2 linked regions of the Caenorhabditis elegans genome follow. The protein of the gene in region 1 binds, or shares a complex with, the protein of each later gene. Each region holds a gene or a part of one and is shown on either strand. Other genes may lie near its edges.

What was found.
Region 2: rpt-6 (region 1) and rpn-13 share a complex: the UniProt entries of both Caenorhabditis elegans proteins name them as parts of the 19S proteasome regulatory particle complex.

The regions. Positions count from the first base shown.
Region 1 is NC_003281.10:12,368,581-12,373,508, forward strand, and holds rpt-6 (26S proteasome regulatory subunit 8), read left to right. Parts: upstream 1-1,875; 5' UTR 1,876-1,880; coding exon 1,881-2,006; intron 2,007-2,058; coding exon 2,059-2,832; intron 2,833-3,526; coding exon 3,527-3,877; 3' UTR 3,878-4,028; downstream 4,029-4,928. Other genes in the region: his-72 (Histone H3.3 type 2), read right to left, coding at 464-470; glrx-5 (Glutaredoxin-related protein 5, mitochondrial), read right to left, coding at 4,057-4,281. UniProt on the Caenorhabditis elegans protein: Component of the 26S proteasome, a multiprotein complex involved in the ATP-dependent degradation of ubiquitinated proteins.
Region 2 is NC_003281.10:6,339,193-6,343,875, reverse strand, and holds rpn-13 (Proteasomal ubiquitin receptor ADRM1 homolog), read left to right. Parts: upstream 1-1,947; 5' UTR 1,948-1,952; coding exon 1,953-2,831; intron 2,832-2,877; coding exon 2,878-3,043; intron 3,044-3,088; coding exon 3,089-3,184; intron 3,185-3,415; coding exon 3,416-3,495; 3' UTR 3,496-3,763; downstream 3,764-4,683. Other genes in the region: C56G2.9 (DUF4604 domain-containing protein), read left to right, coding at 589-627, 705-795, 844-875, 928-1,120, 1,170-1,345; Very-long-chain 3-oxooacyl-coA reductase let-767, read left to right, coding at 3,921-3,966, 4,044-4,199, 4,374-4,683. UniProt on the Caenorhabditis elegans protein: May function as a proteasomal ubiquitin receptor. May promote the deubiquitinating activity associated with the 26S proteasome.

The DNA.
Region 1 (4,928 bases):
TCGCGTGTTCGATCGATAACGTAGGATTTCGGAAGTGATGATGAAATAGGAGGTGTAGGAAATTGCGAAATTCTCATAAAATTTGAAAAAGTTGCTGAATTATTCAAGACTACGTATTTCTAAATTCTTTTCTAAAAAAATTAGTTTTGTTAAGAAGTTTTCTGCTGATTTTCCTGATTTTAATGGATAATCCCGTAAAACCGCACTGAAATTCTCGCCGCGACGCGGCCGCTTCGCGCATAAACGTGGCATCTAACTAGGTCGAAATCGATGCTAAGCCGATAAATTCTTAAGAAACATCTACTTTAATGGACTACTTCCAACCTATACCGAAAAAGGCTGTCAACTCGAGAGTACAAAATAAGCCTGTGGAAAAAAAAGGAGAAGAAATGAGCCAAATTGCAGTATAAAGCCCGCAAAATGGTCCGAAAAGTTGGGAGAGCGCGCGCGCACACGCACGCACCTCTCATCACGACGACAAACAGAACAACTGACAATATATATTCGAATGGTGTCGGGGCGGGGCGGGAACGAGTAAGAAGTACGAAGCCAAATTGGTGTCCACACTATAACGTTTGATACTCAGCCAACACGAAGACACGTGACGACACAGAGAGCAAAGACTTGGCATTGTGCCAAGTCTCCGCCTCCTCCCCCCTTTTGTCGTATCGATTTTGTGGGGTCTGGACCAAATCCGGATTAAAGCTGGAAAACTTATGCCAAGAAATATCAAATCTTTCAAAAATCCTCATTGAAAATCTGGAAAATTAACTTTAAACTTCAGGTCGCGAAGGATCCTGAATCCACGTGGATTTTCAGAAAAATTACTAATCGGGCAAAATTTTTTAAAGAATTTCATTTCTAGCGATAACTTAGCGATTCATCCGTAGATTTTTATGAAATTCGAGTATATTAACCGGAATAAGGTAACGGACCAAACTGGAAATTTTCAGGAAAAAATATGCGAAATGAGCTGAGATATGAATTAAAATGCTGCGAAATTCGAATTTTCCAGACGGAACGAAACAACAAAATGCAAAAATTTTACGCGCGCTAGTTTAATCGGGGGGCCACTCTCTTGCAAACACACACTATTTCCGAAATGCGTGCCGCTTCTCTGCGGTCTCTTCAGTGTCGCCGCTGCTCTCGCGCGATTGCGGACTTTGAACGCATTTCTTGAGAAAATATAGTAAAAATTGGAGTTTCTTGGGATCGAGGAGGATTTTTTATTTAAAATATTCAAAGAAATTGCACTAATAGTAAAAAATCTGATTACTGTTCAAGTTGAAATTTCAAAAAAAAAAAAAAACAGAAACAGTAATTTTTCTCAATTCCACAGAAAATTGAAATACTGGATACTCTAAAAATATTCCTCTTCAAATATTAATATTTTCTAAATGATTTGAGGAAGTTTCAGAAAAAAACGCATTTCCAGATCTAAATAAAGGTTTATAACAAATTTCTGCGGGTAATTTTGAAGATAAAAACAGTAAATTGGACGAAAAATCTTTAATTTTCTAAATTTCGAAGAAAAACATCAAGAAATTAACATGAAAACGAGGAAATCAATCTAATATTTCTTTAAATTTAACGTAAACACAACTGTGCATTTTTGCGTCGGCGTGTACAGCATTGCGTACGTGGCGCCACAATTGACGCCATATTGGTTCTCCGGTTGAAATATCATCATTTTTAAAGTTTCTCAATTTTTATCAGTTTTCAAGGTTTGAATTCGTTTTTTTAGGCGATTTTTTCGATAAATTGGCTTGAAAATTCAATTTCCAGGGAAAAATGAGAGATCCACACGTTTCTTGTCGTGTTATTTCAGTTTTTATTAGTCTCAACTTATTTAAAGCTATTATTTATTTTTTCCAGTGTTAATGGCTCCACCTGCTTCTACTGCTTCATCAGCTGACCCTTCTAAGCCAACGGCTCAAAAATTGACCGAAGAATCCGATGAGAAAACTCTTCGCAAATATTTCAGCACAAAAGTCGATGATGCGCAGGTTTGTTGTATTTTTTAAAAAGTTTAGCCCAAGGGTTTATCAAGTATTTCAGCAAAAAGTGGCCGACAAATCACAAAATGTGCGTCGTCTGCAAGCTCAGCGTAATGAGCTCAACACAAAAGTTCGTATGCTGAAAGAAGAGCTTCAGCAGCTCCACGAGCAAGGAAGTTACGTCGGTGAAGTGAGCAAAGCCATGGATAAGAAGAAAGTTCTTGTGAAAGTTCATCCAGAAGGAAAATATGTCGTCGACGTGGATAAATCCATTGATATCAACTCACTGAACACAGGAGCACGTGTTGCACTCCGAGCCGACAGCTATGCTCTTCATAAGCTTCTTCCGAATAAGGTGGACCCGCTGGTTTCGCTTATGATGGTCGAAAAGGTTCCTGATTCAACATACGAGATGGTTGGAGGTCTCGACAAGCAGATCAAGGAGATCAAGGAGGTTATCGAGCTGCCAGTCAAGCATCCCGAGCTCTTCGATGCTCTTGGTATTGCTCAGCCAAAAGGAGTCTTGCTCTTTGGACCACCAGGAACTGGAAAAACACTGTTGGCTCGTGCAGTTGCTCATCACACCGAGTGCACGTTTATTCGAGTTTCCGGCTCCGAGTTGGTGCAGAAGTTTATTGGAGAAGGAGCACGAATGGTTCGTGAGCTCTTCGTGATGGCTCGTGAGCATGCTCCATCGATCATTTTCATGGATGAAATCGATTCGATCGGATCTAGCAGAGTTGAAGGATCCAGTGGTGGAGATTCGGAAGTTCAGAGAACAATGCTCGAGCTTCTCAATCAACTGGATGGATTTGAGGCGACGAAGAATATTAAGGTGTGCAAAAGGAGCATATTGACCGAATATCAGGATTTAAAAAATTCAAAAAAAAACATTTTTTCTAGATTTTATATAATTTTTTGAAAATTGAAAAAATTTCAGTTTTCCCTAATTGCTATTTAAATTACCGCCAATTAAACTCGTTCGTTGGAGCGCGCTTGCATTATTTTTATTAATTTTTTAAAAAAATTATTCTCATCATTATTTCACTGATTTTCTTCATTTTTTGGGGTTTTTTCATCGGAAAATGAAAGAAATAAATAAGAAAAATGCAAATTGTTCATTAAAAAATAACTGAAAATGCCTAAAACAGGTGAAATTATGTGTTCCGACGACGACGAGCCTGAAATTAATATTTTTCGGACTTTTTAACAAACATTTTGCATTTGTCTTGTTTATTTCGTTTATTTTCCGATTAAAAAACTTCAAAAAATGAAGAAAATCAGTGAAATAATGAGAATAAATTTTAAAAAATTAATGAAAATACTACAAGCGCGCCCCAACGAACGAGTTAAATTGGCAGTAATTTAAATAGGAATTAGGGGAAAACTGAGATTTTTTCAATTTTCAAAACAAAAAAGCATATAAAATCTAGAAAATTTTTTTGAATTTTTTAAATCATAATATTCGGTCATCCCACTTAGCGTAGTCCACCTATAAATATTCCAAGCTTCTATATATAAATGTTCAGGTCATCATGGCAACCAATCGTATCGACATTCTCGACCCCGCACTTCTCCGTCCCGGCCGTATCGATCGTAAGATTGAGTTCCCGGCTCCAGATGAGAAGGCTCGTGCCGATATCCTCAAGATTCACTCGCGCAAGATGAACTTGATGCGAGGTATCAACATGGCCAAGATCGCCGAGCAAATTCCCGGAGCATCGGGAGCCGAAGTCAAGTCGGTGTGTACCGAGGCTGGCATGTTCGCGCTCCGTGAGCGACGTATTCATGTGACGCAGGAGGATTTCGAGATGGCTGTTGGAAAGGTTATGCAGAAGGATTCGGAGAAGAATATGTCCATCAAGAAGTTGTGGAAGTAAAAATAAAAATGCAAATTTCGACTTTTTTTATCGATTACCCCCCCCCCCCTTTCACTGATTTTATTGTAAAAAATGGACCCTATTTATTTATTGTCTTTGACCTCCCGTGCTCTCCTTCTTTTGCTGAATAATGCAATCTTTATTCGAAAAAAAAACGTCTAAATTTCTAACAGGATTATTCATTGCTTCCCATATTTATTCGAGATTCCCTTTTCGTCTAAAAAGTCGGAAATCTCTCCGTCTTTGTGCATTGAAATGAGAATATCACATCCGCCGACGAACTCTCCCTTCACATAGACTTGTGGAATTGTTGGCCATTCGCTGAAAATCTTGACACCTTCTCTTAGCTCCTGATCGGTCAGAACGTTGTAGTCTTGGAATTTTACATTGTGGAAGTCGAGAACCTGAAATGGGAAAATGTGATTTTTTGGGATTTTTTCTTTTTTTTTTTAAAGCGAAACTATTACGGTAGCACTAAATTCTGAGAATACGTATTGCACAACACATTTGACGCGCAACATATGAAATATCTCGCAGCGAAAACTACAGTAATCCTTTAAATGACTACTGTAGCGCTTGTGTCGATTTACGGGCTCTATCAAAGCTGGTAAATCGACACAAGTGCTACAGTAGTCTTATTTAAAGGATTACTGTGTAGTTTTCGCTACGAGATATTCCATATTTTGCGCGTCAAATGTGTTGCACAGTACGCATTCTCGGCATTTTGTGGTTTTGTAATATTTATCATCGAATTTTTGTCGACTTCAAGCTAGGAAAGCTCGAAATAATGAGATTTTTCAAAAAATTTTAAAACAGCGGCCTTTTAAGCTCGAATTTTACCAATTTTACCAAAAGAATCGAATAAAAATCAAATGCTGGCCGTTGTGATACGGAAAAACTGGTAAAATTTATTTTGATTTTTTTTCTGAATTTTGCAATTTTTTTCAAAAAATTTGAAGAAAATCGTTCTTTTGAGGCGATTTTAAGCCCAAGAATTACACTAAAAATGCTAACCAATTAGCGATTCGCTCGGCCCACTTTTGAACCAATC
Region 2 (4,683 bases), 6.0 Mb from region 1:
AGAACGGGCTTATTCTTGTGGGTCTTCCCACGATCAATCCAGGAAGAGAATGACAAGAGTCTTCAAAGCCACATTCCATGACCCTAGAAGGACTTAAAAATATAAATATTGAAAAGAACCCAATAGTAATTTTAAACGAGACAGGCTTCTTTCGTATATTTGCATCCTCGTAAAGTCTTTTTTGTTGGACAATTTCTTATTTAAAAAAATCACCAAAATTTTCTGAATGTTTTTCAGACTGAGTAGGACATTATTTTTTAAACTTCTATCATAAATCTCGTGTAGTTTCATGAAAAACTCCCACCCATTTTCCCACTGTCATGAGTCAACGGGAAAGCAAAATTCGAGTACAAATTAGTGTTCTCCATTTAATTTGTGGCGTTCAACACATAACTCGTTCGCCCCTTCATTTTTTCTTCTATTCTTGGTAGTCGCGTATCACTTCTTATTCTGATCAAATAAATTTTTTACAAAAAAATTAGAGCTGAGCATTCAGATTTAATTATTTTTCTCAATATCGTGAGAAAAGGTTTATTCAATTTTGCTTCAGCCACTTGCTACAAACTACACCATCTAACGGCTAACACCATGTTCAGCGAGCATAAGAAGAAGCAGGAAGAAGCAAAGGTTTGTTCTTATCTGTATTCAAAAACGAACCGTTACCCGACAAGGTTACGAATTTCAATCAGAAAAAAATGTTCCAGAGAACCGAGAAGAATGGAGAATTGATCTTCGATGACCTGGATGCAAAAACTCGTGATCTGAAACTATCGGATCAGGCAAAAAACGACAAAAGTGAGTTAAACCGAAGGAAAAGTGTTCATAAAATCATCAATCTATCAGAGTACATGTCGGAGATGGAGACCAAGAACCCGGTAAGTCAATTTTTAATTTGTTGAAAAAATAGTTGATTATCTGAAATTTTAGAAAAGAAAATCTATCAAGAAAAGCGACCAAAAACCGTCAACGATGTCGCTGAATGTAGGAAAGGGTGGTGTGGAGAAAGAGAAGGAAACGATTTCCTCGCAGCGGAGCAATAGTTTGGAATCTCCAGGACTAGGAAGTCCCCAAAATGTTGGTCTCGGGATCTTTGAGGCAGCAACTATGATGCGCAACATCGGTAGATCTTTAAAAAAAAGTCACGTAGACATCTAAAATTACTTTTTAAGTTGACATCACAACCGACTCGACCACTATGAAGACGGGTAAAACGAAAACATTGAAATCAAAGGAAAGCAAGACCTCACTTGGTTCGGCAAGTGGGCCATTCTCTCAGATGAAGGAGGCTCAGGAGATGAAGAAAAAGAGCAAAAACAGCTTTGAACTGGATGATATTGACAACTAAACTAATATGTTTTAATACTCATCGTGTATACCCAGTGAATTTGTTTTAAAAATACTAATACTAATCGGTAATTGGCATTCTCAAATTTTGCAGAGACCGATTTTGTCAAAATAATGTATTGAATAAAGTGGTTTGATTTTTAAGATATTGGGTAAAAAAATAATGAGGCAAATTCGTCTTAAAACGAGCGGAGGACAAGTTAAATACAGAAAAATAGAACACAAAACGTGACAAAATATCGCATGTACGGTGTGCATTCGGAAACAGCGTTTTGTACGCAAGCACTGAACACCACGAGCAAATGCACCACGAGAAAAGTCATCCTTTTTTAGCCAAATTTGGAACAATATTGTTAACAATTGTTTCTTCAATTCGAGTTATCTTTTAAATATTAAAAAAGACATTATATTTTTACTAGTTATTTGAATTTAATTTTTTTTGACGGGAAATAATTTGTTTCTGTCCGACATGTTACTTTCCAAATCAATTATCAATACTTCAGTTTATTTGTGATATTCATTCCTCGTAATTTTGCAAGTTTGTTCTCTATTTTTTCATCTTGGTATTTTCAGCTTCCTTATCAAACATTCATTTATTTATTTCAGAGATGGCTGCTATGTTCAGTAATACTCGCTCGGTCGCTTCCTCTTCTGGCCATATTGTCGAATTCAAAGCTGGACGCTCTCGCCTTGAAGCTGGATCCGGAGATACTATGAGAAAAGTTGTTGCTGAACCCAAAAAGGGATTGGTATTCATTAAGCAAAGTAACGACATGCTCATCCACTTTTGCTGGAAGGATCGTGAAACTGGCGCAGTTGTTGATGACCTCATAATCTTCCCCGATGACGCTGAATTCAAAGCTGTTCCTGGATGCCCTGATGGCAAAGTGTATATGCTCAAGTTCAAATCTGGAGATATGAAGCTTTTTTGGATTCAAGATTCAACACCAGACGTTGACAAGGATCTTGTGAAGAAGGTCACTGACGCTCTGAACAAGCCGCCGACATCTCGTCCAGCTGCTTCCCGATCGGCTGGTTCTAACGCAAACACTGATCGTCAGTCTGCTGGAGGATCACTTATCTCTAGCTCAGACATGAATGCTCCCCTTGGAGGCATCGATCAAGGGCAATTGATGTCATTGATTCAATCTCTGCAAGGCGGAAACTCTGACACTCTTCCAATTTCTTCCGTGCCTCGAGGAGAGGACGCATCGTCAGAAGCAGACTGCGAGCCTTCGACGAATGCAGCTGAGGAAGGATCTTCAAATCCACTTTCCTTGAATAACCCGGCGATTCAACAAATCTTCAACAACTTGGGACGCTCACAAAAGAAAGAGGTGGCAGTCTCTCTGGCAACTGCTCTGTCGAATGAAACGGTTGCTGAAGTTGCTCGTAACCACGCTGAAGAGCTCGCACCGCATCTTCCAACTTCTGATGATCCAGCCCGGGAGCTTTCTGAGACAGTCAGAACTCCGCAATTCAGACAAGTTGGTTTTTAAAGCATATTATATTTTAACTGTTCTCTATTTTCAGGCTGCTGATACACTTGGACATGCACTTCAAACTGGTCAACTCGGGCCAGTAGTTGCACAGTTCGGAATGGATGAAGCCACAGTTGGCTCCGCGAATCAAGGTGATATTCGTGGTTTTGCTGCTAATCTCACAAAGGCTGAGGGAGGAGAAGATGCTGCCAAGACTCGTAAGTTTACTTGAAATTCTGAAACATAGTCTCACGTTCGTTCAGCACGGGTTGATAACCCGATCTGCCGGAGAGCTGTGATGCCGTCCGCTTATCTCGGCTTCTTTTCCCCCTCAATTGCGGCAACGGTGTCTCGGCTAGGTACGGCGCACTCTCAGTTGTTGAGTTTTTACTCATTTTTGAATATGTCACTAATTGTGATTGTCCTTTTGTTTCCTTTCGCACTATGACCATTGCGCCATTCCTTGTAAAATTTTGCTGCTCTTAACACTTAACACCTATCCATTTGCTATTTCAAAAACAATTTTTACAGTACCGTAAACCTCTGTACTTTTGATAAAAACATCAATAACCATTGTTAATTGTTTGCAGAAAACTCGGACGATGACGCCACTCGCGAACCAGAGCCAAAGCGCAACCGTCCAGACAACGAAGATATGGATGTCGATTAAACTCTCTGAATAAACAAATTCTTCATCACTTTTGTGCATATTCCCCCTTAAACTGTGTTCTCCGTGTTCCTCTTTTTCCGACTCGTCCCTTTAGTATTTCTTCATCATGCCAGAAATGGTGTGATAAGATAGTAGAGCGATGTTTATCGACCACTTCTCTTCGCTCTCTTTCATTTATTCGACCTTCAAGACGTCCCCATTTTTATTCCATTTCGAGAACTTATTTATTCATTGTAAAGTACTGCAAATAAACCCTTTTTACCATCAATTTGAAAGTTTCGGAAAGAACTCGTAATAGTAGCGATTAGTTTTATATTTTTCAAAGTTTATTGGAGTGCATGAGTTTCAAAAAAGTAAAAACGTGACCTCATGAAAATTTTTAGTTTTCATATGTTTTCGTCATAAATAAATAGTTACAAGAAATAATGGAGTCGTCTGACAATTTACATGATATAGATAATCTTGAAAACGGTAAATAAATAGTGTATAATTTATGCACCTTGCATCTTTTCTGCCTGTTATTTCCATTGAAATTCTGTAAATTCCAGGTAACATGGCTTGCCAGTGCTTCTTGGTTGGAGCCGGATACGTGGCTCTTGCAGCTGTGGCTTATCGTCTTTTGACGATTTTCTCGAATATTTTGGGCCCATACGTTCTTCTGTCGCCAATCGATTTGAAGAAAAGAGCTGGAGCTTCTTGGGCTGGTTCGTTTCTATATTTTTACTCTGGTGATGTCTTATCGTATAGCACTCAGAGAACTACTTTTGGTTCTCTGGAACTGTTATCATTTTCAATTGATAATAAAATTGCAATGAAAAAATTGTTGCGTAAATATAAAATAATTGTTTTGAATTTCAAACAAAAAATACATTTTTCAGTTGTCACCGGAGCCACTGACGGAATCGGAAAAGCATACGCCTTCGAATTGGCTCGTCGTGGATTCAATGTCCTGCTCGTTTCGCGTACCCAATCAAAACTCGATGAGACGAAGAAGGAGATTCTCGAGAAGTATTCCAGCATTGAGGTCCGCACTGCCGCCTTCGACTTCACCAACGCTGCTCCTTCTGCTTACAAAGATCTTCTCGCCACCTTGAACCAAGTAGAGATCGGAGTTCTTATTAACAACGTTGGAATGAGCTACGAATATCCAGATGTACTTCACAAAGTTGACGGTGGAATCGAGCGTCT